Diceros bicornis minor: one gene and its partners. The protein of the gene in region 1 purifies or fractionates together with the protein of each later gene. This does not show direct contact. Links are inferred from orthologs where the notes say so. Each region holds a gene or a part of one and is shown in the gene's direction. Other genes may lie near its edges.

What was found.
Region 2: the proteins of DVL2 (region 1) and SQSTM1 purify together in Homo sapiens (affinity purification with western blotting; 3 studies listed by BioGRID, with this or other methods). This does not show direct contact. The link is inferred for Diceros bicornis minor from reciprocal best matches to the Homo sapiens genes DVL2 and SQSTM1.
Region 3: the proteins of DVL2 (region 1) and PLK1 purify together in Homo sapiens (affinity purification with mass spectrometry; 6 studies listed by BioGRID and IntAct, with this or other methods). This does not show direct contact. The link is inferred for Diceros bicornis minor from reciprocal best matches to the Homo sapiens genes DVL2 and PLK1.
Region 4: the proteins of DVL2 (region 1) and ITCH purify together in Homo sapiens (affinity purification with western blotting; 4 studies listed by BioGRID and IntAct, with this or other methods). This does not show direct contact. The link is inferred for Diceros bicornis minor from reciprocal best matches to the Homo sapiens genes DVL2 and ITCH.

What each region holds. Positions count from the first base shown.
Region 1 is NC_080757.1:11,048,673-11,056,359, forward strand, and holds the start of DVL2 (segment polarity protein dishevelled homolog DVL-2), read left to right. Parts: upstream 1-4,672; 5' UTR 4,673-4,890; coding exon 4,891-5,084; intron 5,085-7,354; coding exon 7,355-7,424; intron 7,425-7,687. Other genes in the region: PHF23 (PHD finger protein 23), read left to right, coding at 1,536-1,567, 1,735-1,827, 2,379-3,228, 3,332-3,546.
Region 2 is NC_080740.1:92,810,629-92,817,691, forward strand, and holds the start of SQSTM1 (sequestosome-1), read left to right. Parts: upstream 1-4,056; 5' UTR 4,057-4,091; coding exon 4,092-4,296; intron 4,297-6,461; coding exon 6,462-6,557; intron 6,558-7,063. UniProt on the Homo sapiens protein: Molecular adapter required for selective macroautophagy (aggrephagy) by acting as a bridge between polyubiquitinated proteins and autophagosomes.
Region 3 is NC_080765.1:28,067,784-28,075,117, reverse strand, and holds the start of PLK1 (serine/threonine-protein kinase PLK1), read left to right. Parts: upstream 1-4,327; 5' UTR 4,328-4,631; coding exon 4,632-5,039; intron 5,040-5,750; coding exon 5,751-5,919; intron 5,920-6,677; coding exon 6,678-6,822; intron 6,823-7,334. UniProt on the Homo sapiens protein: Serine/threonine-protein kinase that performs several important functions throughout M phase of the cell cycle, including the regulation of centrosome maturation and spindle assembly, the removal of cohesins from chromosome arms, the inactivation of anaphase-promoting complex/cyclosome (APC/C) inhibitors, and the regulation of mitotic exit and cytokinesis.
Region 4 is NC_080758.1:25,188,349-25,195,729, reverse strand, and holds the start of ITCH (E3 ubiquitin-protein ligase Itchy homolog), read left to right. Parts: upstream 1-4,365; 5' UTR 4,366-4,444; intron 4,445-7,220; exon of another isoform or gene 7,221-7,369; intron 7,370-7,381. UniProt on the Homo sapiens protein: Acts as an Acts as an E3 ubiquitin-protein ligase which accepts ubiquitin from an E2 ubiquitin-conjugating enzyme in the form of a thioester and then directly transfers the ubiquitin to targeted substrates.

The sequences.
Region 1 (7,687 bases):
CAGCGGGAGGCGGGCGAGGAATCAATTGGCAAACTTGGAGGTCGAGCCCAGGAGCCCGGCGAGGGAGCACGGAGAGGGGGGGTCGGGGGCCTGTCCCTGGAGGTGGGAGAGCGATGAGTTGAGAGATCTTGGAGAAAGAGGAGTGGGAGACTGAGCTGGGGGTAGTTGGAGATCAGACTGTGTGTGTGTGTGCGGGGCGAGTGGGAGCTGGAAACCGGAGCTTCGGGGGTTAGGGGCCGAAAAGGCCTCCGGCAGGTTGGGGCCCTGGACCTGGGAGGTTGGGAGTATCGGGGGACGGGGAGTTGTTGAGGAGGGAGGATGTAGAAGAGGACTGAGTAGGAGCCCGGCAGTTCGCCGAGGTGGGGGAGTTTGTGGCGGTGGTGCCGGAGCTCCCGGTAGTTGCCGCCAGAGATAGCCCGGTGATTGTTAGAGAGGTGGGCAGATAGTTGTAAGGAGAAGAGGGGGTCTGGGTATTGTCTGCGGTAGAAGGACCTGTACCGGGGCTAGTTGTGGGGAGAGAGAGAGCCGGGAAGCAAGGAGAGCTGGGTAGTTGTAGGGGCGCTGGGGCGGGGTGGGGGGGTTAAGACTGGCGAGTTGCGGGGGGGGGGGTGTAGGTTTGGTCGGCGAGGGTTAGAGCCTGGGAGTTGCGGAGGGTGAGTGGGCAGCAGCGGGGCTTGCTGTGGGGGGAGAGAGTAGCTGGTTGGGCGGGGGGGGGTGTAGAGTTTAGGGGTCCGTAGCCTAGTGACTCGGTGGTGAGTACGGGGGCGGAGGGGGGGGCGGCGGCCGGAGAGAGCTCGAACAGGGCCCGGGGGCCCGACGGGGAGCCCGAGGAGCTCGAGACGGGGAGGGGCCAAAGCCCCGGATGGGGGCGGAGGGACGGCGAAATTGTGGGGAGCGCGGTATGGGGGGGGCAGGTGGGGCCGCGTCCGGGTTAGAGCTCTCTGGTCTGTCCCGGACGCGAAGTGGCGTTGGCTGTGTGTGCCTGTGTGTGTTTAGGTGGGGTGAGGGGCGCGCCGGGCCTCGTGCTCCGGTAGAAGGGGCCGGAGGGCGGGGAGCGGTTCAGCGTGGTCATCCTGGACCCTGAGGGCTGGCGGGCGGCGTGTGCGGTCTCGGAGGACCCGGGGCGGTAGAGCGCGGCCGGGTAGGAACTCCAGGCTCTGGGCGCGTGTGAAGGACAGGGGCAGGCGGCAGCCCTGGCTCGGTCCGGGGAGCGGTATGGCGGGGTGGGGCGCTAAGAGATCCGAGTCGACTGGAGTCTAGAGAAACCGTGAGTTGTGGGGGGGGGCGGGGCGCCAGGCCTCCGGTGGGGGGAAGGGGAGCGCTATAGCGAGGCCTGGGAGGGCGCCGCGCCCAGGCTCCGCCCCTCGCGGGGCGGAAGGGGGAGCAGGGGCGGGTCCAGCGCAGCTGGGGGCCTGCTGGCCTGGCTGAGGTACCTGGGAGAGAAGGGGGATCGCTTGGGACCTTCAAGGTTTAGAGGTGGGGTTTTACACCGACTCTTGCCTAGTGCCTTGACTCAGCTTTTATTGCTTTCACAGATCCACCTCCGACCCTTAAGCCAGAGACTCAGGTGAGGTTTCCCTTACCTTTGCAGCCTAGTATTACTGCCAGACCCCCTCCCCCACCTTTGTCCGTCTCTCTTTCCCTTCTACCTTTTCCACATTCCTCACTCCAGGGACTGTGCCTTTGGGAATGCCCCTCTTACACTCCATGTGATACATGTTTCCTTCCTTTCAGCCACCAGAGAAACGTCGGAGAACAATTGAGGATTTTAATAAGTTCTGCAGTTTTGTCTTGGCCTATGCTGGTTACATCCCCGCTAGCAAAGAGGTAGGGACAGGAGGACAAGTGATATGAAGGGGTGTCCTAGGACTATAGAGGCGCTGTTGAGTAAATGGGACTGTATTACTTTAAAGGAGAAACCTACCAGGAATTATAAGACTAGGAAAATTGGAAACTTGGGTGGGAAAACTAGTGTCTGGGGCGGAGATGGGGTTAATAAAGCTAGGTGACTTGAGCGGCAGTGAATGGTCTTGGGGTACTGTTAATGGAAGTTGCTTTTGGATAAATTTTAGGAAGCTGAAAATGGCAACAAAGGAGGCTGTACAAGAACAGAGCTAAAGAAGTATGGTTCTGGTGTGGGAGATAAAATGTTGTGAAAGCACTGGGCACTGGGGAGATCGCTAGAATTTGAGGGCAGAGGTAACATGGAAATGTTCAAGTGGAGATGTTGATGGGAATTGGGATGAGTACAGTGAGACTTGGTGGTTTTGACAGGATATTTTGGGGTAGATCTAGTTCTTGGTTTCTAATCTGGGTTTGTAGAGGGGCTGAGATGACACTGGGCTGCCTGCTGACCCTGGTCTCTTCCCCTTTTTAAGGAAAGTGACTGGCCAGCTTCCGGCTCCAGCTCTCCATTGCGAGGTGAGAGTGCAGCAGACAGTGATGGCTGGGACTCGGCCCCTTCAGATCTCCGAACCATCCAAACCTTTGTTAAGAAAGCAAAGTCATCCAAGAGAAGGGCGGCTCAAGCAGGTCCCACCCAGCCAGGACCCCCAAGGTCCACTTTCTCTCGCCTGCAGGCCCCTGACAGTGCCACCCTGCTTGAGAAGATGAAGCTCAAGGACTCTCTCTTTGATCTAGATGGGCCCAAAATGGCATCTCCACTGTCCCCCACATCCCTGACACATGCCTCCCGGCCCCCTGCTGCTCTCACCCCAGTGCCCCTTTCCCAGGGGGACCTCTCCCAGCCTCCTCGAAAGAAGGACCGAAAGAACCGAAAATTGGGGCCAGGAGCGGGTGCTGGCTTTGGGGTGCTTCGGAGGCCTCGGCCAGCCCCTGGGGATGGGGAAAAGAGGTCTCGAATCAAGAAGAGCAAGAAGCGGAAGTTGAAAAAAGCAGAGCGGGGGGATAGACTCCCACCTCCTGGTCCTCCCCGGGCACCCCCTAGTGATACAGACTCTGAAGAGGAGGAGGAGGAGGAGGAGGAGGAGGAGGAAGAGGAAGAGGAGGAAGAGATGGCAGCAATGGTAGGGGGTGAAGCCCCAGCCCCTGTGCTGCCAACACCCCCTGAGGCTCCCAGGCCCCCTGCCACAGTGCACCCTGAAGGAGCCCCTGCCACTGACAGTGAAAGCAAGGAGGTGGGCAGCACTGAAACAAGCCAAGATGGAGATGCCAGCTCCAGTGAAGGCGAGATGCGGGTCATGGATGAGGACATCATGGTAGAATCAGGTGAGAAGTTTGGGACACCCAAGGGCAGCTGGGAGGCTGGGTTTAGGGGTGTTGTGGATCCAAGAGCTCAGGCAGAACACCAAACAAACCTTCTTTTCCCCAGGTGATGACTCATGGGATCTGATCACATGTTACTGCCGAAAGCCCTTTGCAGGGCGGCCCATGATTGAGTGCAGCCTGTGTGGGACGTGGATCCACCTCTCCTGTGCTAAGATTAAGAAGACCAATGTCCCTGACTTCTTTTACTGCCAGAAATGCAAAGAACTGCGGCCAGAGGCCAGGCGGTTAGGGGGGCCTCCCAAATCTGGAGAGCCCTGACATCGCAGGCTCTAGGCTGGAACTTCTAAATGACATGACTTGGGAACTGAGCCTCAGGGTCCTCAAGCCTATCCCCTGGAGCTTGGATATTGTCCCACTTCAAGGCAGGAATTCCTAAGGGAGGCTGGTTTGGAAATGAGTTTCTCACATTCCTCCCCTACCCTTCCTTCCCACCTTGTGGACTTGAACTCGGACCCCTTACATTTGGGGGTGGGAAGCTGCCTGGGTCCCTAGACACTTAATCTCTGTCCCTTGGGCCTGCCACCTCTCACTTTCTGGGCCAGGGTTGGAATTGGGATGGAATGGGACAGTTGTCTATAAAACTCTAGTGTAAATATAGCACTCCCGTCCCTCATCTTTTCTTCTGTCTCACTCCCCATTTATTCTATACCGGTTGTATTTTTAATTTTGGACTTCCCCTTTTGGGCATGGCAGCTCAGAGGTGGAGTACCAACCAGAGCCTGGCCCGGCAGGAGGGAAAACAGAAGGGTGACGATTCTCTCACTCACCTCTTGTTTTTAATAATATTGGCCAGCTGTTTGTACAGACAGCCTGCGTGTTGTAAATAAAGCAGAGTGGGCTCTTTTGTGTTTATAGCCCTCACTGACTGTCCTGCTTGGGAGGGAGGCTTTGGAAAAGCTGGCAGAAGACTGGCTGGAGGAGGGGCTGAAACTGACCCCCCTTTCAAGTCCGAGGTGAAAACGACTCTCTGGCCTTAATTGGTTTTGCCCCACCTCGCCCCTGTGTAGGATCCCCACAATCTCCACCCCCCACCCCCCACAAGCTCGCTCCAGCGGATCAGACTTGCTCGGAGCTCCCCGCCCGAGCTGGGTAAAGCAGGGTGGGAATCAGTTGCCTGCTCCCTGAGGGCAGAGACCAGCTTAGCCACGGGACTGGGTGGACGCGGGTGGGGACACATTTGGGGGCGGGGCCGGTGCGGGCTGGGAGACCGTTGCTGAAGGCAGTGATCACGTGGCGGGGGCGCTAAGAGGAGCCGAGTGGTCACGTGACCGGGAGAGGGTCACGTGGCGGAGGGCGTTACGAAGAGCGCGAGGTGGGTCGGCTTGGGTCACGTGACATGGGGAGAGGTGGGCGGGGCACAGGAGGGGCGCTCGCGGCGTCTGCGGCGGTGGCGCGCGGCGGCGGCTGAGTCCGAGGCTTTGGGTCGCACCCCTTGGCCGCCCTCTCCTATCCCCTCGACCGCCGCCTTCTCTCTTGCACCGCTCTTGCACGGGGTCGGTCCTGTACGCGCTCGCGCGTCGGTTTTCGGGTGTGCGCAGGCGCGGCGGGAGCGATTAGCCCGCTTGGGTGGGCGGCGGAGCCCGGGAGCGCGCGGGCGAGACCATGGCGGGCAGCGGCGCGGGGGGCGGTGGTGTCGGGGAGACGAAGGTGATTTACCACCTGGATGAAGAGGAGACTCCCTACCTGGTGAAGATCCCTGTCCCCGCCGAGCGCATCACTCTCGGCGATTTCAAGAGCGTCTTGCAGCGGCCCGCGGGCGCTAAGTACTTTTTCAAGTCTATGGATCAGGATTTCGGGTGAGCCCGAGGCCTAGACTGGGACGGCTGGGGACTGTGCTGGAGTGGATTGGTCAATATTGAGGGGCATAGGTCCATTCTGGGCCATGCTGGGGATTTGTGGGCTATAGTGGAGTAGATTGTGCTATGCTGGGGTAGATTGGGTATCACAGGATGGACAAGGTTATGCTTGGACAGATTGAGGCGCACGGAGCTGTAGGAGGACATACTGGGCTATACTAAACCAGATTAGAGAAGATTAGGCTATATTGGAATAGAATGGGGCTCACTGGTTTATTTTGGGATGTTCTGGACTGTGCTGAGGTGGATTCATCTATCTTTTGGTAGTTCAGTGCATTCTGAGCAGTCCTTTAGCACACAGGCTATGTAGGGATATTGTGGAATCTCCTGACGTAGATAGGGCTATACTGGGGTAACTTAGGGCGCTCTTGCCTATGCTACGGCAGGCAGGATTGTTTTGGGACACTCTAGTCTGTAATAATGCAGAGTGTGCTGTATTGGGATGTTCTAGGCTGCCCTGGAGTAGATTAGGCTATCTTGGAGAAACTTGGGCCATTCTGGTCTCTACTGGGTTGTATTGGTTGATCTTAGTTTTTGTGGGGGCCTAGTTTTTATTGGGACACTCAGTAGAGGAGCAGACAGTCTGTTGGGGTCTCTGCTGGTACAGACAGCTGTATTGGGATATTCTAGTCTGTATTGGTGCAGACAGCTGCATGTGGAGACATTCTAGGATGTGCTAGACTAGATTGGGCTTTCCTGGGGTAATTTGGGACATTCTGGGCTAGACTGGGACTTTAAGTAATGCAGAGTAAGCCCTTTTGTGTCTATAGCCTTTGAGACTGAGCAGTCTCTGTCCTCAAGCTCAGCTTTGAAGGCAGGCTGGATTAGGCTGGGATTGCCTGGGTTCTAGGAGGGCTGAACAGACTGGGCTCTCCCTAGAAAGGTTGTTGGACGTTGGGGAAAGTGGTACTGTGTTGGGAGTTACCTTGGATTTAAATCAAGGTTCTTCTGTTTGTCAGCATTTTAATTTGGCATAATTTATTTAATTTTTGTGCTTTGATCTCATCTGTGAAATGGAGATCATCAAAGTAAAATGCCTACCACAGGTACCTGGCAAATGATAATTGTCATTATTAGTACTGAGTCTGACTAGTCTATAAGCCAGGTTTGTATCCCTGTGGTGATACAGAATAGAACAACTTGGCAGGCTGGACTATGATGAGACTGGATTATGTTGTGAAGAATACTACATTATGCTGAGGCAGATTAGTAGTGCCTGGGCTGTGTCGTCGCTTTGATAGCAAATGGGATTAAGTTGGCATGTATCCAGGCTCCTAGAACCATATTAGGCTAAAGGGTTAATCAGACAGTATGTCCTAATTCAAGAGTGAGGATGTATGAGAGTGTGTGTTCAGGGCAGAGATTTTCATAGCTTATATATTGAGTCCTTTAGTCAACAAATATTTGTTAATGCTTACCAAGTATCAGGTACTTTGCTGTGAGGCTGGGATGCAGTGTTGAACAGAATAGGCATTAATGATTAATGATTTCCGGTGGTAGTTGAGAAGAAGGGACAAGTCCAGTCCATCGCAAGGAACCCATGGGGCAAATGGTCCCCAGGGCTGGGCTTTGGGGTCTGTCAGGTGGAGCCGATTGCTTAGTGCAGAGTTTTGTGCCAGGTGAGGCACAGGGGAGTGGGAAGCCCGGCTTCCCCTCTCCTTGAGAGCTCTCGGCCTAGTGAAGAAGTACCATTCTTTGGTCTAATGGATATTTTTATTTAGGCAAAGACAGCACATTTGGACTGCCCTCTGGAAGTGAGTTAGAGAAAACTAAGGAAAGCATAAGAGTGGAGACTTACATGAGGACCAAAGCCTTTTTTGGGAAGGTGTGTGAGGAACAGGTTAGAGGTTGAGGGGAGGCTGCCTGCAAGGCTCCTAAGGTCAGATAGATATTTTGGGCAGCTGGGGTAACCTCATGGGATGGCCTTTGAAATTGGACTGAGAGGTTTGAATCAGACTCAAGGAAATCTTTGGAGCAGCGTTGAGCCCCTGAGGAGGAGCTGGGGAGAGAAGGAGAAATATGGAAAGGGAATCTTTTGGAGATTTCTTAGGTCTAAGAGTGACGTGTTTCGGTGTAACAGAAGAGGACTTGGACAGGGTGAGAGAAAATCCACATCCTTGAGCTGGATGAGGATTGGGAGAAACTTGAATGGGGATGGGAGTCGGGGGAGCTAGTCCAGTCTCACGGATTTTTATCCCTTCTCTCGGCAGGGTGGTGAAGGAAGAAATTTCAGATGACAATGCCCGCCTTCCCTGCTTCAACGGACGGGTGGTGTCCTGGGTAAGGGGCTCTGGCCCTGAGGCCCCAGTCCCTCCTGTGTTGCTAAGCTCCTCCACGCCTCAGTCTGTTCTGTAGCACTCCTCCTGCTCAGTTGTTGGAGGTCCTGGCTCTTTGCTTTCCTACCTGTCTGGAGAGCCAGCTGGAGCCTCTCAGCGTTCTCTTTATGAGGTCTCTTCTGCTTGCTACGGCTTTTTTGTGCTTTTCTCCAGGCTCTGTCAGACCCTGTCCCTTTTTCTAGTCCTTTTCGTTACTCCCATCTCATA
Region 2 (7,063 bases), on another chromosome or scaffold:
CTGGCCCTCTGCTTTGGGGACACTGCCCGGCCGGGGGTAGGTCTCCACGGAGGAAGGGAGAGGCCAGGGAGGGGCGGGGCCCTGAGATCCCAGTCCTGACCCTCGTCCGACCCGCACCCCCTTGAAGAACCACCTTAGGGGCCCGGAACCCCGGGGCCGAGCAGACCACTAACGACCAGCGGATCTGACGCGAAGAGCGAGGTGTGCCCTCCCTGTCGCTGCGGGGAAACCGAAGCCTTGACCGGAGGTCTCAGTCGGGCAAAGACCCCGCCCAGCGCCGGGAGCCCAAAGACACACGCTGGGGCCGAGGGGGGCTGGCTGGCCGATGCCTCTTGGGGTGGGGTGGGGCGGGTCCAGTCTCCTCCTAGGCGGCACCCCTCCAGGGACCCCCCCCCCCCGCCCTTGGCTACCGCCCCGGGCCGCACGTGCCTTCTGAGCGGGGCGCGCGCGGTTGGGGTCTCAGCCGGAGAGGTCCCTGGCGCCGCCCGTCGGGCTTAGGGTTTCCGCCGATCTTGGGCGCCGGGCTTCCTGATACGCAGACAAGGCCCCGCATTAGCCGGTCAGCCTCACCTTCCCCCATGCGGCGTAGGTGAGAGTCGTTTCCACTGCTCCACACGCTTGGCATGGCCCCCAGGCGGGCGCAGGCGTCTCGCCCCCGCATCTAGTGCGGGCAGCAAAGCCCAGAACGGCTGCTCCAGCCCTCCAGCAGCCGTGCAGGAGGGCCCAGTGCTCCCACGCCCCGAGAACTTGGCATTACCTAACTCTCCAGCTGTGTCTCTTCGTGGCTCTATTTCATTTCCCCGATGACCGAGGACTTGAACCCCTTTTCTTTGAGAACCCTGCCCCCCCCAAAGCCCCCCACACCTCTTGGCTAGGCTGTGGGCTTTTGCAGGAAGGGCTAAAACGAAGTGATGTCCAGTGCCTGGGGATTTTCCCCAGGGGGTGGTCAGGGAAGGCCCCCACTGAGGAGGTGCCATTTAGCGTGGGAGGTTGCCTCTCTAGACAGCAGGGAAAGGGTTTCACGCAGGGGGAGGAGCCAGGAGAAAATCACCAGGTGGAATGAGTGGGCCTGGTTAGGACCAAGTATGGGCTGTGTCCCTACGGAGTGAGAGAGGGGAATAAAGTGGCAGATGGGTCCTAGGGCAGTGTGGCCTGAAGGCCACCCCATCCACGACCCTGTTCCCCACGGAGAGACAAACGCATCCCTTGAGCCTAGTGCTGAGGTCAGGAGGGGCTTGATCCCTTGTGATCCTCAATCTTAACGGCGGCCAGGGGCAGCTCAGCCTGAGTCCTGCAGTGGCCTTGTCTCTGGCTGCCCCCAACACCCACCTCTAGGCTTGGCTCCACACGGCAAAGAAAATAAAGAGAACTTCAGAAAACTTTTGTCAAAGGATGGGATTATTTTTGGAAGGGAGGAGGGGGAACTGAGGAGGTAGTTACAACACACCAGACCAAATCAGATGACCTCTTGGCCCCCCTGCTCCCAGAGTCTCCCAGAAACTCGACTCAGGTCTTGTCTCTGCTCCCCACTCTTTCACCTCCACTGTAGGCTGTAGCCTCTTTCCTTCCTGACAGCACCCCTGAAGCTGACACCCCCAAAGGCAGACAAACAACAAGTAGCACACCTAGGGGCATCACTTGGGAGAGGCGACTCAAGTCATCCCACTCCAGCCCCATTTCAAAGATGAAGCAACTGAAACTGGTCATTTGCCCAAAGATGGCAGGGCTGGTTGGATAGTCGGTCTTTTTATTCAGGTGCCAAGCTTTCCCCAGCTGCAGAGTGTTCGTGCCATGTTCTGGAGGGTGGGGAGGGGGCCAGAAGGCACAGGAAGGGTTGGGGGAGCTCCCTGCAGCCCAGGGAGTGGAAGGACAGCAGATGTCAGAAGCAGGCCTGGGTTCATGGGGATAGGGTCTGATTGGCTCTGGCCTCCCCGCTGCCAGCTCCCTGCCATCCTAGCCTCTGCGGGCTCTTTTGGCTCCGGGGGTCCCACAGAGGCCCATGCAGCCACTCCTCACCCCTGTGCTTGGCTGGCTGGTAAGATGTCACTGAGATTGGTGGCATCGGGCCGGGGAATCCCCCCTGTAATGAGGCGGTCATGAGACGCTGACTCACTGCCGGCCAGACCACCTGACTACGCAGCGGCAGGCGGAAGGGGCCCTGCCAGGGGGTTCCCCGGCCCGGCCTTGTTTACCTCTCACCCGCCGTGGGGGAGGGCAGGGGCAGGGGCAGGGCAGGGCGAGGGCCTGCTCAGCCGCGGGGCATGCTGGGAAGGCCGGAGCTGGGCCTCCCCAGGGGCGGAGGTCTCTCGGCTGCTTGCCAGGGCTCTATTTCCTGCCACCCCCTTTCTTCCTGAGCTCTCCATCTTTCCCCGAAAACCCACCACGGCCCCAGATGGGGCCAAATGGCGAAGGGCAAGGCGTTCCTGCCCGCGGCCTCCGTCTCCGCTGCTTGTTAGGACGGGGCCTGCGACTTGGGCCCTTCCTGAAACCCGCCGCTCCTCAGAGCCACAGGGCTTGCCTTGGGCACCCCACCCCCTCACACCCGGATGCTGAAGCTCTGGGGGGCGGGAAGCCTGGCCCTAGGCCCATCCCGCTGGGGGCTGCGAGGCTCCCAGGCTGCTGAGTCACGGGCGTGGGCGCCTGTGGGCCGCTGCACCCGCTGCCTAGCACTGCCCCCTCTGTGGCTTTTGACCCTGTCTGCAGGGCAGTGGGCAGAGGGTCACTTTCCCAGGCTCACAGCGGGGGTGCAGGGAGGGGCCTGAGACGGGACCATCCTCTCTACAGGGCAGTTTGGGCAGGGGTGCCAAGGCCGGCTCTGGAGCCCTCTGGGAAGGACCAGCCACACCTATGAACAAGTCCTTGCTGTGCTCCCATGGGCGTGTCACCCTTGTACCTGACTAGCCAAATCCACTCAACTTTCTGTGGTCTTTGGGTTTCCCATCCCTTGAGGTTTTACCTGCTCTCACAAACCCCACCATGATGGAAAGGACATGACTTTGACTCAGCAGGTCTGAACTTCTACTCACAGGACCCCACCTGGGAGACCTCATAGGGTGACATACCCTTCCCACTCACCTCCTTTCCAGACCATCCCCCCCAACGACCCCCTTTCCCCAAGCCTTGCGAACAGGTCACTTTCATCACATAAAGCGGTGTTTCCTGGTTCCTAGCTGGGGAGCTGTTGGTTTGCCCCCTGGGCTGCCTGTGAGCCCAGTAGGCCTGAGACTCCACAGGTCCTTGGACATCGCCTGCTGAACTGAACCCAGGCGCCCAAAGGGAGTCTCTCCGGCTGCAGTGAACACTCTGACCACTGAGGCTCCGGGAAGCCTTAGCTGGTGGTCCAGCCCGGGTGGGGTGGGGGCACTCTGAGCTCTTCCAGCACCTCTCAACAGTGTGCTCTATTCAACTGGGAGCTCCTCTGGTGCTCAGGCCTGAATTGGGGGTATGTCCCTCCACCAGTAAGGGGCTGTGGCCAGGTTACCAGGCTAGGCCATCATGGAGGATGCTAGGGGTGGTGGAGTGGGCTGCCACCTGGGAAGCTGGTTGCTTTGAATGGATGGGGTCGGGGTTCTCAAGAGTTGCGGTCGGGACAGAACCTCGGGAGCCAGTTTATTCCGGCCGGCCCTGCCTGATGAGCACCTAGGAACCTTCTGGCTTCCGGCCTCTGTCGCCCCCCTCCCTCCTGCGCTGGGTATCCCCAGGCGGCCAGCGTTCTGCTCTGCTGAGTCATGGTCAGATCCAAGCCTGGGAGGGGTCTGGGGCGGGGACCCCAGCGGGTCCCTTGCCCCAGGTGCAGAGACCAGAGTCCAGACATCTGTCGGAGTCCTTGGGCCGGCCTTTCGGGGTCCCTGTTGTACTAGGGACTGTGACGACAGTGGTCACCAATGAGGCGGCGGGGACGGAGGGGGCGGCAGGCGCGGGGCCCCAGCAGGGCGGCTCGCGCGCGGCGGCCCGGGCGGGGGGGGCGGGGCCGGGAGCGCGCAGGCCCGGCTCCCAGGAGGCCGGGCGGGGCGGGGCTTCCCGCGCTCCCTACAAAAGCCGCGCCCGCGATAGCCGCTGCCGGCTGCGCTCCTGCTCCTCGACACCTGGTGATGGCGTCGCTCACGGTGAAGGCTTACCTTTTGGGCAAGGAGGACGCGGCCCGCGAGATCCGCCGCTTCAGCTTCTGCTTCAGCCCTGAGCTTGACGCAGAAGCTGAGGCCGTGGCTGGCCCCGGGCCATGCGAGCGGCTGCTGAGCCGGGTGGCCGCCCTGTTCCCCGCGCTGCGGCCCAGCGGCTTCCAGGCGCACTACCGCGGTGAGCCGGCCGGCGGCGCGGGGCCGTGACGCAGGCTGCCCGCGGGCCGGGTGGCCGCTTCTTCTTCTCGTCGGGCCTGGTGGCGCCTGCAGGGGTCTGCTGTGGCGGCTTTCTGGGTGGGCGGCGGCCGGCGTGCGACCCCAGTTCGACTTCGGGTGCCAGCCTGGTGACCGGGTGTGATGACCAAGGCTGCGCTTTCGAGCTAGGCGCTGCCGGGGTCTCCGGGCGGATCTCAGGCCCCGGGGCGGGACCTGCCGTCCCTCCCCCAGCTATGATGTCGCAGATGTTGGCAAGGGCGCGCTGGGGCGTCCTCGCCGGCTCGCGGCGGGCACAGGGTGGTCAGGCGGGCACTCAGGTTACAGACGTCTTGCTCTGCGCTGAGTCTGGGTCTGCCGGCGCCAGGTGGGGGTTCAGATAATGCCGTGGAAGCGCCTGGACTGGGCAGACGCGTAGGAAGGGGCGGCGGGGAGAGGACTGACGTCAGTAAACAAGCCTGGGCGTGGGGGGGACCAGGGGCGGTGCGGCCTGGCCAGGAGCCCCGGGCCGGCGGGGAGGGGAGGTCAGGGACACATCACAGAAGCCCAGACCTGGCCAAGTCCAGGCGTTATTCCATTGGCAGCGGTCAGAAGGACAGGATCAAAATGTATTTCAGAAGTGTTGGTGTAGAGACAGAAGCCCAGGGACGAGCTGAGTTTCTTGCTGTACTGGTGTAACTGGTGGCTGCTGGGGTGGGGTTGGGAGGTTTTTGTGGCTGGGAGGGAGGCGGGCAGCCAAGGGCGGCCCCTGGAGGGGCAGTGCTGGGACCTCCCTCAGGAGTGCTGCCAGCTGGCTAGGCCAGCTCCTGGTTTGTTTTGGTAATGATTTTATTGAGCTATAATTTATATACCATACAATTCACCCATTTAGAGTGTACAATTTTTAGCATATTCACAGATTTGTGCAACTGTCATCGCAATTTCAGAACCTTTTCATCACTTTTTAAAGGAACTTGTACTTTTAAAGGAACTGTTAGCTCTCTTCCCATTCCCATTCTCTCACCCCCCAGTGCCAAGTAACCACAAATCTACTCTTTTTCTCTATGGATTTTCCTATTCTGGACGTTTCATATAAATATATAAATGGAATATAATTTATATGCATTATATAATCATACAATATTTAGTTTTTCCTAACTGGTTTCTGCAATTAGCATGTTTTCAGGGTTCACTTATGTTGTAGCGTGTGTCAGTACTTTATGTCTCTTTGTGGCTGAATAATACCCCATTTTATGGACAGACCACGTTTTGTTTATCCATTTCTCAGCTGATGGATGTTTGGGTTGTTTCTACATTTTGACACTGCCCTGTTTTTTTTTGGTTTTTTGTGAGGAAGATCAGCCCTGAGCTAACATTCATGCCAATCCTCCTCTTTTTACTGAGGAAGACTGGCTCTGAGCTAATATCTGTGCCCATCTTCCTCCACTTTATGTGGGACGCCGCCACAGCATGGCCTGACAAGTGGTGCGTCTGTCTGCGCCCGGGATCTGACCTCAGGCTGCCAGCAGCAGAGCGAGTGCACTTAACTGCTATGCCACAGGGCCGGCCCTCCACTGCCCTGTTCTTATGTTGGATGTTGTGGCTGGTGGCCCTCAGACCTGGCCCAGCCTGCAGATGCATGTGGTGCTTTACAGCCCTCTGAGCCAGCATCTAGAGGTTGGAGACTACGTACCAATACATAACGTTAGCTTTGCTGGGGGAGACAGCAGGCAGATGTGCTCATCTGCTTTACTCTCCTAAACCACAAGAGGCCCAAGGCTTTTGGAGGAGCTGGGCCCCCCCAGAGCAGATCACAGGCAGAGACCTCCCACAGTGGAAGATGGGCTGGGGCCTTGCTGGCTGTAGACTGAGGCAGCACCTTCTGAAGGGGCAGATGACAGGCTGCTGCTGCCACTGCACGCACACACTCTGCCTCCTAAGCGCCCAGGGCTCAGCTGAAGTACTTACCTTCCAGGCAGTGGCAGAGTGAATGGGCAGTCTGGTTTCAGCCTGCTTCCCTCTGGCTCAGACAGGTGGGCTTCAGTGTAGAGCCCTGCAAGTGCCCCTTTAGCGCTGGCCTCAGCCCTTTTTGGCACTGGTGTCCAGCTGAGAAGCCCTGGGTGCTCAAGTGCTGTCTTTTAAACAATCTAGATGAGGACGGGGACTTGGTTGCGTTTTCCAGTGACGAGGAACTGACGATGGCCATGTCGTATGTGAAGGATGACATCTTCCGTATTTACATTAAAGGTAAGGGGCTGCTGTGGGGTGCTGCCTGAAGCCAGGTGCTCCCTACTGAGTAAACTAGCTTGAGATTATGGAGAAATTACCCCAAAGAAGTGGTGAGGAACCTGCGGCTGTTTAAGACAGGGACATAATCATCGCTATGCTTGGCCTGAGAAAGGAGTCCATGTCCACCATGTGGTGGGATTGGATGGTCTCTGGGTTCAATCCTCTTTTTTTTTTTTTTTTTTGTTGAGGAAGATTGGCCTTGGGCTCACATCCGTGCCCATCTTTCTCTACTTTATATGGGACGCCGCCACAGCATGGCCTGACAAGCGGTGCGTCGGTGCGCGCCCAGGACCCGAATCTGAGAACCCTCAGGCTGCTGCAGTGAGCGTGCGCGCACTTAACCGCTCTGCCACCGGGCTGCCCCCTCTGGGTTCATTCTTTTTTTTTTTTTTTTTTTTTTTTTTTGTGAGGAGGACCAGCTCTGAGCTAACATCCAATGCCAATCCTCCTCTTTTTTTGCTGAG
Region 3 (7,334 bases), on another chromosome or scaffold:
GTTAAATTGCTAATGAGCCCTTATTGAAATCGAATGTCTGACCTGTAGAGGCTGGTGACTGTCCAGTCTGATGTGCGTATTCTTGAGCGGGTCAGTTTGGACTCTGTGACTGACAAGATAAAAAGGAAGCCTTGCTTGTCGCTTGGACGTGGACCTGGCTGTCTGGCACTGCAGCATGCCTTTGCTGCTGCGGAAGAAAAGCAGCTGGCGTGTTTGGAATCCCCAATTCACTGATCCCAATTGCCTGGACCTGACTCTGAGCAGAAAACTGATGCTGGCTGCTGTGAGCTGTTGCAGCCTCCACAGGAGCTGTGCTGAACTGAAAGCAGAGACAGGCTCCATGAACAGGACTCAGACCCTGGGACCCCTGAAGATTTAGGACCCCTTCTGTGGAGCTCTCAATTATGGAAGCATACCTCGTGGATGCTGGCTGGACCATCTGGGTCACATACAAATGTCCACAGGAAAGGGCCTGTTCTCTGATGGGACCGTCTGATAGCAAGCTACTGATCAGCTCTTTATCTCTGATGCAGAGGCTAATTGCATCCTAACTTGTGATCCCCGTGGAAAGCTGCAGGCTGGGGGAGGGCAGTCACAGGGACTGTGACCCTCCGCCTGCTTTTGACAAATCAGACCTTCTGGGCCTTCTCTGGGGGACATCTCACCGCTGTTGACTTGTGTCTGGCTTTCTGGATTCATTGCAACTTGCCACAGTGGGCTGATAGCCTGACTCTGCCGCCTCACATTTCCCCCAGCACAGACACGAAGGTAAGGTAGGTTGATTATTCAAATGTAGCTGTCTCTAGAGAGGGCTTGATCTTTTCTAAGCTGCTCTCTGGATAAAAAGGGTAGGAGGTTCTGTAAACCCATTTTGAAATGTTTGAAAATTCAAAATTTCATCCTCTATTAGGCTGCTAGGGCTGCCATAACGAAATACCACAGACTGAGTGGCTTAAACAGTAGAAATTTATTTTCTCACAGTTCTGGAGGCCAGAAGTCCAATCAAGGTGTCACCAGAGTTGGTTTCTCCTGGGGCCTCTCTCACTGGCTTGCAGATGGTCGCCCCTCCGTCTGAGTAGTCTGTGTCCTAATCTCTTCTTATAAGGACACCAGTCATATTGGATTAGGGCCCACCCCAACGACCCCATTTTACCTTAATCACCTCTTTAAAAGCCCTGTCTCCAAATACAGTCACAGTCTGAGGTACTGGGGGTTAGGGCTTCAACATATGAATTTTGGGGGAACACAATTCAGCCCTTAACACATCCTGACCAATTCCTGAATGTGTCTTTCTGGTTACATTGTATAAAAATGTTTATCTACAGAAATACTTTTGTGCCTCTTGCATACAACCCTTCCAGATGAAAGGCCTGGATGAGAGTAAGAGGTGATGGAAAAAGTGTCAAGTTAGGATTGCTGATCAGTGGGGCACACTGATTTTGTATCAATGGAGAAAAAGTAAAAACTTGGCACCTGGGGAGCCTTGGGGAAGGGGGGGCATTTATGATCTGTTTTTCAGAACTCTTCCTGGAAGCTTTCCCCTCTTCCTGGGGGAAACGCCCAGTGCTGCCTCTGGGAGCATGCGCTGGGAGTGCTTTTGAGTTCAGAGTGTGGAGCCTGGGATCGCACCTGGCAGCTCTAACTGTGTGACAACAGAGGGGGCCCAGCTCCTGCCCTTGCCATGCGGAACTCCTTCAAGTGTTGTGCACCCTCATGAGGTGGATAGACTTGTATCATGGACAAGCAAATCTCTCTGGAATCAACTCTCTTCAGGCAGTCCCTCAGAAACCAAGGATTGCATGGATTTTTGGACTGGACTGGAAACTCGAGGGCAAGAGGCCCCATGGTAGGAGGCTACACTGGGGGCCCTGTTAACCCCTACTGCCTGACTAGTGTATGTCCCCCTTGGGGTACCCTAACACTGCAAACTCATTTCCAGGGGAACCACGTGTACCCTCTGGCATTGCACTTCTGTCTGTGTGCCCTGTCGCCACACTGCCTCTGCCCTGGAAGGTTTCAGGTCAGCTTGAATGTACCGGCCGCAGCTGTGCTGTACCTGATTGATGCCTTGGGTGAAAACGAGTCATACAGAAACTGAGGAGGAGACCACTTGGCTTTCTAAGATAGACTTCTATAGTTATTGGGATTTATTGTAGCTGGCTAAATCCAGGACCCTAACAGGTGTAACTGAGATCAGTACTGCAGGTTGGTCTCACCGTTTTGTGTGGGGTCCTACTGATCGTGATTTGCTGTAAAGAAGCATAGCCAAGGGCCAGGGGTGTGGACTGTACAGAGAAGAGGTGATCAAGCAGGCCTGAGACTGCTCTCCTTGGAAAGGTCTGTCTGCAAGGTTGGCCCCTGGCTGGCGACTGGAAGCTTGGATTTGGGGAGGGTTCTCACCATTCCCTGAATGATAAGCGTGGCTCACTGTGCCTAAACTGTTTGTGCAAACAATGTGGTTTATGCCAAATACCTGCTTTCCTTCTGGGAATCCGGAATTTGGTTGTGTGCTTGGCAGAGGGTGCCTGTGTGACCAGTCCCCAGTGAAAACCCTGGACACTGAGTCTCTAATGAGCTTCCCTGGTAGATAATATGTTGCATGTGTGGTCACAACTCATTGCTGGAGGAGTGAAGGGTGTCCTGTGTGAGTCCACTGGGAGAGGACTCTGGGAGCTTGTGCCTGGTTTCCTCTGGACGTGGCCCCATGCGCCTTTGCCCCCTGTGCTTGTGCTCCGTAGCCTGTAGCTGTAATGCGTCCTAGCTGGCCGTGAGTGGGACTAGATGCTGAGTCCTGTGAGTCTCCTAGTGAATCATGGAACTGGGCCCCCACGCAGGGAACAAGGGGACTTCTGGGGTGTTGGTAGTCTGGGTGCGCTGACACGGGGTGTGTTCAGTTTGTGAAAATTCACTGAGCTCTACAATTATGGTATGTACACTTTTTCTGTACACAGATTCAACTTCGATAAAAAGATAAAACAGGGGCCGGCCCGGTGGCGCAAGCGGTTGGGTGCGGCGCTCCGCTGCGGCGGCCCGGGGTTCGCTGGTTCGGATCCCGGGTGCGCACCGACGCACTGCTTTGGCAAGCCATGCTGTGGCGGCATCCCATATAAAGTGGAGGAGGATGGGCACGGATGTTAGCCCAGGGCCGTCCTCTTCAGCAAAAAAAGAGGAGGATTGGTGGATGTTAGCACAGGGCTGATCTCCTCACAAAAAAAAAAAAAAAAAAAAGATAAAACAGAAGATTACACACCACAGGGATAAAAAATACAAATGTAGTTAAAAAAACAACAACTTCCTTTTATTCAGCAGACATGTTCATTAACCCTTTTTACCAGGCATTGCGCTGGGAGCTTGGACGTGGGGAGGAAACATGTCCTTGCCTCTGTTTATTGGGAAGCAGGTAGAGACCTTTACGGTGTGGTTGGTTTCTGCTGGCTCTATCAAAGACATCACAAGGTGCGACGTATGGGGGCGCAGAGAAAGGGCTTCTATTTTGCCAGATAGGCAATGGGCAAAGGGGATAGCTGGGACCTGAGGCACACTGGGGAGGTATGTAGGCGGAGAGTTGCCAGAGCCTCTAGTTTTTTCAGGAAAAGCTACAAGTCTGAATTTTTATGTGAACCCCCTTGATTTCTAAGTGTTGTGAATGAATCCAAATTTTAAAAAGTGGGAAGCCTGACAAAACACCCCTGCAGGACAGATTTGGCCCTGGACTTCCCCTTTGCCAGGCATTCTGCCCCCTAGCCATCCTCCCTCTGAGCAAACAATTGAGGGTCCACATTTTCAGGCACTGGGGAATACAGCAGTGAGCAAGCCAGACGACTCACTTTCTTGCATAGTGGGGGGCTCTCCTACTGTGCTTCTCAAACTGCCGTGTGTGTGGGAATCACCTGGGCAGCCCCGTGGAAAGGCAGATTCTGACTGGGCAGGTCTGCGGTAAGGCCTGAAATTCCGCCTTTCTAACAAGCTCCCAGGTGGCGGTGATGCTGGTGGTCCCTGGAACCTCCTCTGAGCAGCGTTGCTCTGCAACCCAGAGAGGCTCAGGAGCAGCTGTCATGTGAAGGAGGGGAGTAGCAGGCTTGCAGTGCAGGTGCATTTGCCCGGCAAGCATCCTGGTTTTACTTAGATTTTACTTTATTGGAGTGACTTGGAAGAGAGCTGATGACATCGGAGGCGGGTGCTAAGGCTCTCCCAAGCTCGCTCTCGGCGCTACCAGGTCTCCCTTCTCCGAGTTTATATTCCAGAAGGCGGGGTGGGGCTGGAGGGAGGTGTTGGGAAAAGCTTCCTGGAGGCGGTGCATGTGAACTGCAAGTTGTCTCCTCTCCTCGGCCTGGGGCTCGGCTTCCCCACGCCGGGTACTGTTTCCCAGGCATCCCACGTGTCTGCCGTCCGCGAGCGCCTGTCAATCAAGTGTTTTTCCCCGGCTGGGAACGGGTTTAAAGGCGGCTGCGGTGTAGAGCGCTCCCATAGTGCCGCGCGGCGGGCGGGTTTGGATTTTAAATCCCCGCGGCCAATCAGTGGCGCGCAGGCTCCTGTAACGTTCCCGGCGCCGCGTTTGAATTCGAGGAGGAGCGCAGCGGTGCCAAGCATTTGCCCAGACCCTACTAGGTCCGCGGAGCAACTCGGGGAACATGAGTGCGGCGGCAACTGCAGGGAAGCTGGCGCGGGCACCAGCCGACCCAGGGAAAGCCGGGGTCCCCGGCGCTGCGGCTCCCGGGGCCCCGGCGGCCGCCCCGCCGGCGAAAGAGATCCCGGAGGTCCTAGTGGACCCGCGCAGTCGCCGGCGCTATCTGCGGGGACGCTTTCTGGGGAAAGGCGGCTTTGCCAAGTGCTTCGAGATCTCGGACGCGGACACTAAGGATGTGTTCGCGGGCAAGATCGTGCCTAAGTCGCTGCTGCTCAAGCCACACCAGAAAGAGAAGATGTCCATGGAGATATCCATTCACCGCAGCCTCGCCCACCAGCACATCGTGGGCTTCCACGGCTTTTTCGAGGACAGCGACTTCGTGTTCGTGGTGTTGGAGCTCTGCCGCCGGAGAGTGAGTGTCGCTCCTGGGAGACCGGAGCTGCCTGGGGGCCGGGGTTGGGGCGCCCGGGGCCCGGAGCTGCTGGAGTGGCGGTGCTGGGAACCTCGAGCTAGGGATGGAAAAGGTCTCGGGTAGAGGGTGCTGGGCACTCAGAGCTGCTGGGGGCGGGGAGGGTGGAGGCGAGGTCCGGTTAAGTGGAGCCCGAGTCCTGTTTCTGCTAGGGAAGGCGGCTCCTGGACCCTAGGTGTGCGGCAGAGGGGTGGGGGTGGGGGCGGCGCGGGCCGGGGTAGGACCCTGGTAATGGACCCCGGGCTTCCGGAGTTGCTAAGGGAGGAGTCCCGGGTAAGGGGTGCTGTGGACCCGGAGCTTCCGGAGTGGGGTTGGGTCAGGCAGAGGGTGGTTGGAGCCAGACCTCGGAGCTTCCGGGGAAGAGGGGTCGGGAAAGGGATCTGCTGCTGCCAAGAGGCCGGGGGAGGGGATATTGAGAACGCTGAGCTTCCGGAGTGGGGCTGGGAGAGGAGTCCCAGGTGAGGGGCTTGAGAGGGAGCTAGTAGGAGAGGGGGTGCTATGAACGATGGTGGCCAGGATTAGGGGAGGGCCCAGATCGCAGTTGTCCTGGAGAAGGAATTGGGGGAATGTCCTAGCTGTCTTTACCTAATGACACCCCGTCTCCCCTCGGGCCTCAGTACCGACTCCGCATTCCTCCTCTCCTCCCCCGCCCAGTCTCTCCTGGAGCTGCACAAGCGGAGGAAAGCCCTGACTGAGCCCGAGGCCCGCTACTACCTGCGGCAGATCGTCCTTGGCTGCCAGTACCTGCACCGCAACCGGGTTATTCACCGGGACCTCAAGCTGGGCAACCTCTTCCTGAACGAGGATCTGGAGGTGAAAATAGGTGAGGTGTTGGGCCTGCACGGGTGCTTGACACCACTAGGAGAAGTGGGAATGAGGAGGAGGCCGGGAGGGAGGAAATAGGAAGGAGAGGACGGAGGAGGTAGAGGGTGGTGGAAAGTCTGAGCTGTTGATTGCCTCTGGAGTCCTCTCTGTAGGGCGGACATTTAAAACAAAGAGCTCACAAGCCAGTATCTTGCCTGCAGATGCATGATTTTGTGCCCCTACACGGTATTTTTTTTAAAAGGATTTGAATTAGTTTCCATTTTTTAAATTAGTCTTGACATAAAACCTTGGATTTGGAGTTCCTTTTAAACAACTGGAAGCTCCAGCAATACAGGGCCAACATTCCCTCAGGGCAGCTCTTTGCTGGGCTGAAAAGCAGCTGTTCCCTTTAGACTCCCTCTGGTTTGCCACAGTCCCCACTCCTCCCTATTACTTCCTCACAAACTTGCCAGATAACAGTCTTGAAGTTTACTTGCTTGATCCCTGAAGGCGTCTGAGTTCTGCTATCCCCATCAAGTCCCTTTTAGAAGCCTAGCCCTCCTTTCTAAGGTCAGGGGTGAGGAGGGTCACTGGGAGGCCCTTCCCTGGGGCCAGCATGGTGGGGGGATTCCTGGGCAAGCCTTGCTGTGCACAAGGAATAGAGGCTTGAGGGTTCAAGCGACCCTGGTTCTTGATGGTCAGACCTGAACCAGATGTCTGCACTGACAGATGACAGAGGCTAGCATCTGATACCCCCTCTTGCTTCCTCTGTCTCAGGGGATTTTGGACTGGCAACCAAAGTGGAATATGACGGGGAGCGGAAGAAGACCCTGTGTGGGACTCCTAATTACATAGCTCCTGAGGTGCTGAGCAAGAAAGGGCACAGTTTCGAGGTGGACGTGTGGTCCATTGGGTGCATCATGTAAGTTGGGGGTTGTCTCAGGACCCACTCGGCCCTTTTGGACATCTCACCTGGCTGACCTTAGCCTGTGGACCTTTCTGCCTAGGGAAAGGCTGCTCCAGAGGACAGGCTGCCCAAAAATAAAGCCTAATTTCCATTTCTTTCCTTGTCACTGGCCTATCCTATAGGATTCCTGCAGCCTGGGCCATGGGTCCGGGGAAGGGGGAGGGAAGGTCTCCTCAAACTTGCTCTAGCCCCGGGCTACTCATAGTGTGGTCCCCAGACCAGCAGCATCATCCCCTGGGAACTTGTTAGAAATGCAGAATCTCGGGACCCGGACTACTGGATCACAATCTGGATTTCAAAATATCTCTGGTTCATTCTTGTACACGATAAATTTTAGAACCCCTGGTCTAGAAAGCAGCATTGGGTGGCAGGAATTAGGCTGGGAGTTACGGCCGGCAGCAGGAGGTGTCTGTGGTCTGTGGATGGAGGCCATCAGAGGGCGTGGGTGGTGGGCATAGGCTTGGGCC
Region 4 (7,381 bases), on another chromosome or scaffold:
TTTTTATTGCTTAGTAGTATTCTACTGTATGAATGAATATACCACACTTCATCCATTTTCCTGCTGATGAAACATGCAGGAGTTTTAAATGTTTTGAATTGGTTGCCAATGTTTTAGACCTGAGTTCAAATCCTGGCTTTGCTACTTGCTAGATGTATGACCACAAGCTGGTTATCCTGCCTCTTTGAGACTCAGTTTCCCCATCTGTATAATGGGAAAAAGTATAGCTATTGCTTATTGAGTGCTTGCCTGGCATTGTTCTAAGTGTTTCACATGCTAATTTAATCCTCACAATGACCCACGATATAGGTTATATTACCATTCTCATCTTATAGATGTGGAAACTGAGCACCCCACCTAGGTTGCTGAGAGTATTCAATGAGATAGTATATATAAAACACTTAAGACTCTATTTGGTAATTACAATGTAGAAAGTAAATATTAGCTGTGATTTTTTATTTTTCCTTACTGGCCCTTGGAGGAATTTAAGTTTACTACCCCTGATGGAAAAAGTGGATAAAGCCCTGGATGTCGAGTTGCCAAAGAAAATGCAGGATGCCCAGTTAAATTTGAATTTTAGATAAACAAGGAAAATAATTTTAGTATAAGTATGTTATACCAATATTTGTTACATATTTATGCTAAAAAAATTATTCATTGTTTGCCTGAAATTCAAATTTAACTGAGCATCCTATATTTTTATTTTCTAAATCTGACAACCTTACCTGGGAGGGAGTAACTGCAGAATGTGTGCGCCTCATTTTGCAAATGAAGAAACAGTCTTAAAGAGGGGAATTGATGGAGCCATGACCTCAGGTCTTAAGTGGTCTCTTTGGATCCAGATCTTAGATTCCCAGAAGCCCCATCCAGTGTCTTCTCTCCATCTACACACAGCTCTGCCACATTTCAAGTCTTCCCCTGTCTCTGGCAGTTGAATACAGAGTGGCTTCAGGGAAGAGAGGGACAACAGCGTGACTAAGCCTTCTGCAGGGAAAGCCAGTAAGTGACAGGCTGTGTGTGGGCCACTGGGGTTTCTCTCCCCACTCATTCCAGCTCTGCATCCCTGCTTCCTTCCCCCCTACTCTCCCCAGAGGCCTGGGAAGCTCCTTCTCTTGGTGGTGGGGGCCTCCTCCAGGCTTCCTGCCCCTGCTCTAGCAGGGCTGGGTCTTGTCCCAGGCTGACCTGGGTGTCCAAGGCAGAATGAGGGTGTAGGTGGCTCACAGCTTTATCAGCCACAGGTCCTGCATTCTGACCAGGCCAAGACTAGGCTGACTTCTGGATCAGGGAACCTGGGGGCCAAAACTGCACAGCATGAGAGATGAGGAAATGGCCAGGAGAGGATTCTCTGCCCTCACCAACTCAACTTCTCTTTGGAGAACCACCAACTACCTACCTGGATTTTCTAGAGTCTTCACAACATCCTAGGAAGTAGGATCTATTATTTCCATTTAGAGATTGGACACTGAGTTTCAAGGCACTTGCCTAAGACCCTGAAGCAAGTTGTTGATAGTCAGGACTAGATCTTTGATCCATATGCCTCTGAATAAGCCTAAATTATTAACTCTTCCAAGTACTGCCTCCCAGGGCAGAGCTATTCCACCCTGTTGGCATTAGCATGAAAGTTAGGTTGGCATAGTTCAGTGTTTCTCAAAATGTGATCCTTGGGCATCAACATCACCTGGGGAACTTGTTAGGAATGCAAATTCTGGGGCCGGCCCCATGGCTTAGCAGTTAAGTGCATGCGCTCCGCTACTGGTGGCCCGGGTTCAGATCTTGGGCGCACATCGACACACTGCTTGTCTGGCCATACTGAGGCAGCATCCCACATACAGCAACTAGAGGGATGTGCAACTATGACGTACAACTATCTACTGGGGCTTTGGGGAGAAAAGGGGAAAAAAAGGAGGAGGATTGCCGATAGATGTTAGCTCAGGGCTGGTCTTCCTCAGCAAAAAGAGGAGGATTGGCATGGATGTTAGCTCACAGCTGATCTTCCTCACAAAAAAAAGAAGAAAGAAATGCAAATTCTTAGGCCTGATTCCAGAACTTCCTAACTCAGAAATTCTGGGAGTGATAGCTGACAATCTGAGTTTTAATAAGCCCTCCAGGTGATTCTGAGGCACTCTAAAGTTTGAGAATCTTTGGCATGTAGTAGAAAGAGATGCATTTTTGGAACAAAATGAGCATATATTTAAAACATATATTTGCTTGAGGTAAACTTTTATTGACATATAATACAAATACAGAAAAATACACAAATCATAAGTATACAGCTTGATGAATTTTCACAAAGTGAACATGCCTGTGTACCAGCACACCACATTATTACCAGCCCTGAGAAGCCCCTTTGTGTCTCCTTCCTGGTACTACTTCCCCTCAAAGGGATTCACTATCCTGACTTCAAACACCGTAGATTAGTTTTGCCTAACATTATATAGTTTAAAAAATTGTAGATGAAGACAGAATCTGGAGCCAGAGGACTTTGGTTGGATCCCTAGCTCCTGGCTGAGTGATCTTGGATCAGTCATCTAATTTCCTTGAGACTCATTTCCTTCTCCGTATAATAGTCATAAAAACACCTCATACCTTAAAGAGATAGTGTTTCCCAAACCTGCCTGCTGACAAAAATCACCTGGGGCACTACTTTAAAAACCCACGTTTCCCAGAGCATACATTCTTTTTTTTTTTTTCCCTCGTGTGTGTGAGGAAGATCAGCCCTGAGCTAACATCCATGCTAATCCTCCTCTTTTTGCTGAGGAAGACCGGCTCTGAGCTAACATCTATTGTCAATCCTCCTCATTTTTTTTTTTCCCCCAAAGCCCCAGTAGATAGTTGTATGTCATAGCTGCACATCCTTCTAGTTGCTGTATGTGGGACACGGCCTCAGCATGGCCGGAGAAGCAGTGTGTTGGTGCGTACCCGGGATCTGAACCCCGGGCCGCCAGCCGCAGAGCGCGAGCACTTAACCGCTAAGCCACGGGGCCGGCCCAGAGCATACATTCGTAATGGGACAAAAATTGGTTGGGGGTGGAGAGGAAAATTTTTTTACTTTTTCATGTAAAAGCACAGATATACATATAGTACATAAATAGATATACAGTATACTTGTGATATTAAAATTTCATGGGGGGAATGACTAGAGAAAAAAATGTCTTAAAATGTTCCTTAGAGAGATGATTAAAAAAAGGTTGAGAAACACTGCCCTACAGCAGTGACTCTCCAAGTGTAGTCTGTGGTTAAAAATGCAAATTCTGAGGCCCCATTCTAGACCTACTGAATCGGAAATTCTGGGGGTGGAGTCTAGCAAACTAAGGTTTAACAAATCCTCCAGGTGATTCTGATGGGCACTAAAGTTTGAGAACCACTGTCCTAGAGAATTTGAATAGGTAGGACCCCCCCAAGAGTACAGGATACTGTATCTGTATCTTTAAGAAGATCTGTAAGCAGGAATCTGTATCTTTAACACACTCTCCTAAGGCATATTGCAGGAAACATTAACATACAGGATTTGAAAGTATTTTGAAAAGCGTTAAGTGACTTTCTAGATGGTGAAATATTATTTTCACTAGGAGGAAACAGGCTAAACAATAATAGCAAAGGTTACTAATTACTAAGCACTTAGTTGTTCCTCTGAGTCTACTTAGCCTATCTATTCTCATAAACAACTCATGAAGGAAGTTAAGAGGATGGACTCTGAAGCCAGACTGCCTGGGTTCTTATCCAGCTGTGACTTTGTTTATGCATCTGTAGAGTGAGGATAGTGAAGATACTTCCCTCATAAGTTTGTTGTGAGGTTTAAAGAAGTTTATTGAGTAGCTCTTGGAACACCTGCCCTGTTGGCACCAATTACGTGTAAGCTATTTTCATCAACCCTAAGCGCACCCTGTTAAAAGGTATATTTGAACCGGATCAATGTAACTCCCGAGTGCACTTCCTTAAGGACAAATCTTGGTTCTCAAAGTGTGATCCTCCACCAGTGGCACACCAGAGAGCTTGTTAGAAATGTAAATTAATACAGGCCATCTAAGATCAGCTGAATTAGAAACTCTGGGGGAGGAGGGGGGGCCCAGGAGTCTAAGTTTTAGCAAGGCTTTCAGCTGATTCTGACGCACACTAGAGTTTCGGAACCGAAGCTACAGTCTTTAGAGGTTGGGGGTGGGGGTGGGGGTGGGGGTGGGGGTGGGGCGGGAGGGATTAAAAAAGGGCCTAGAAGCGCTGGGAGGGAGCAAACTCCGATTTAGCTGCGCTCACCAGCTCCAGCCAGCTCTTCCGGCCAGAGGCTGGCAAGTTCGCCAGGCCTTCTGGGGTTTGTAGTCGGGGTCGCTCCCGAGGAGGAGGCGCCTGCGCATTGGCGGCCTAGTGGCTCCGGTCCCTGTAGTCGGGGCTCGGGACCGGCTGCCATCTTAGTCGAGGGACTGAAGAGTCGCCGCCGCCCCGAGTCCCGGTAAATACCCGCAGGCGGGCTGGGGGCAGTTCTGGGGAGAGTGGGGTGCCCGGATGAGAGTGTCCGAGGAGAACGAGGAATGGAGAAATGTGGCGCGCGAGCCGGGCCCCCAGAACCTTGGCTCCTCGCTCTTCCCTCAGAGCCGGTGCCCCTGGGGGCGCGAGGAGCTCGGGCTAGTGGCCCGGGCCGGGCGGGAGGTGGGACGGCCGGACGCACCGAGTGGCCACTGTCGGGCTGAGGCGTCCGGAGCCCCTCGCCTCGCCGGCGCCAAGTTGTGGGAGGGCTGGGCCGCGGCGGACGCCGGCAGGGTCCGGCCCCGCGCCCCTCAGCCCCGCCCGGGGGCCACTCTCCCGCCGCCGGGCCTACGCGCGGGGCCCGGCGGCAGCGGCCGGCGCGCGCGACGTGGCCTTGTGAGGGGCGGCGGCGAGGCCCACCTGCCACCCGGCTGGCCTTCTCGAGACTTTTTGGAGCCCCCAGTCGCGAGGGGGGCCCAGCACAGCGGCTACTTACCCTTGTCTTTTCCAGTCCCCTCCTCCTTCCATTGTCCCCCAGCGTGGTGGTCCCGGCCCGGGCGCCCTGCTCGGCTCCCGCCGCCCCGACCCTGCCGGCGCCTCCCGGCGCCGAGTTTTGCAGACGTGGAGCTGTCACTGTCCTCCTTCCTGAGAGTGTCCGTTCCTTTAGCAGAGAAAAGAAAAAAGTAGCCGTGAACGTATTATAAGGGTCAAAACATGATGAGGACATGACTTCGTAGGGACCTCAAGTTTTAAGATTTATTTCCGGGCAGCGAGTTAAAGAGAGATAAACACAGGGACCGTGCGCCCGAAGTAGACTTTGGGCCTAACGTTAGTCCGAGATGTAACCAGGTGAACTTGCAAACCACCCGAAATTCACGATTCCCGGTAACAACCCAACTTGTTTTCTTGGTTACATTTGTATCTTTAATCGTGTTACATTTTCTGCCATTATTTTACAGCTTCAGTATACTTTTTTGGGGGAGTGAGGGGTGGGGAAGGAAGAGTGGGACTTGTCTTTGAAAATTAATGAGGCGCTGGAGCCAGCCGCCTATCATTGGCACTTAGTTGGGGTCTCCGGCATCTATTCCTAATATAATTCGATTTTAAGGAAGTATGTAGAGGCAGTGTATTTCCACTCTCAAAATCTGCTAAGGATTTGTTTCTCGGCTGAAATGAAGTTCTCGTGGCAGATCTGGTGAGCGCCTGCACTGTGTATTCATAGGTTTACTCAAGGTACAATTACTTCATTTTTAAGATTTAGAAATGAAGGTGGAAATTCAACTGTTTTTTTTGAACAGTGAATGTAAGGTTTTTGGGTGTGAGTCCAAAAGGAATTCCTTCATCTTCAGCATATGAATCAAGTCAACAAGGATTATGATATGAAATAAAAAGCAAGTGCAGAATACTTCTTCAGTGTATTCTAGAGTAAATCATTTCTACATTCTTTTAAAAAACACATCTTTACACCTATTGGAAGAGACAGACCGGTAGTCCCCAAATTTGACCATTAGAATAATTAGGGAAGATTGTTAAAAGTAGAATTTCCGGGGTCTTGTCTCCTGAGATTGATTTAGTATGCCTGTGTTGGCTCTAAGGAGTTTATTTTTACAACATGCCTCAGGTAATTCTGATGGTGTTGGGAACCACTGAGGCAAACAATACTGTGAGCATACCTAGGACAGCTCAAAAAACTTGGAGACAGATGAGGAAGTGACCTGTTCTATCTGGGGGTTGGCCACAGAAGGAGGCAGAATCTGCCTGTGGACCTAAGTTGGGTCTTAGATGATGAGTAGGAGTGTGATAGGGATGGGGAAAAGGAAGGACAAGGCAGATAAAGGAAGAAACCTTAATGCTGTTTGTAAATGCAGAGGATTGTAGAAGAAAAAGGGTTCAGAGAGCAGGGAGTGGAATGAGGAAGGAGAGCATGTGAGACATGAGGCCAGAAAGGTCAAAGGAGGCAACTATATGAAAAGTTCTAAGTATAATGCTAAAAAACTTGAGTTTTATGTTGTTAGCAATAGATGCAAATTTTTAAACAGGAAAGTGGGATGAGTATGTGTGTGTTTCAGAAAGATTGCTCTGGTGATAAGAGTGAAGGGATGGAAGAGTGGCCATTGCAGAGGTCTAGGTGAGAGGTGAAAAGCCTTGACCTTGGACAGAGGCTGTGGGGATGTTTAAGGGTTTGAGTTTAGTTCTTTCCTAGTGTAATATTGTTGCCATATTTTTGGATGAGGATTTTTTAGGGACAGTCTGGGCAAAGGACTCCTTTTCTGTCAAAAGAACCCATTAGCAAGCCTGAATTATATTGCCAGGTTAAATATGTTAATGGTATTGGAGTGTATTGTTCATTAGCATCTTTGAAAAAATTAGAACGAGATTGGGTGCAATTTGGAGGAGAATTAGGAGATAAGACTGAAATTTATGACTATCAACGGTGATCTAAGCTTGTTTGAAGTTTTTCTCCCACTCAGAAACTTGGTCTTAGAATTTTAGAGTTGCAAGAGATTGCAGAGATTATACAGTGGCAAATATGGTTTATGGGCCAACTCTGCTTTGAAGTAGCTGCCAGAAGCACTGTATTGAGAGGGATTTTGGTCATATGGGTTCTCTGGGAAAGTGACTTATGATTGATTGGTGATGCCTCCTGCGGGCACAGTTATCTAGTGGGTGGTATATGTGCCAGGTATATACTATTCTTAGACTAGTCCAACCTCTTGGTTTTCTGTTTGTTTTAAAAAAAAATGTCCTAAGGAGGTTAAATAATTTACCTAAAACTAGTTAAGAATCAGAGCTAGAACTAGAGCTAGAACTAGAGCTAAGTTTTGTAACTCTTATTCTATTATTCTCCAGTGTACCAAGATGAATGTGTGCTACTAAAGAGCTTTGGATATTTTATCAAAAGAAAAAAAAGGTATTTCTAGCC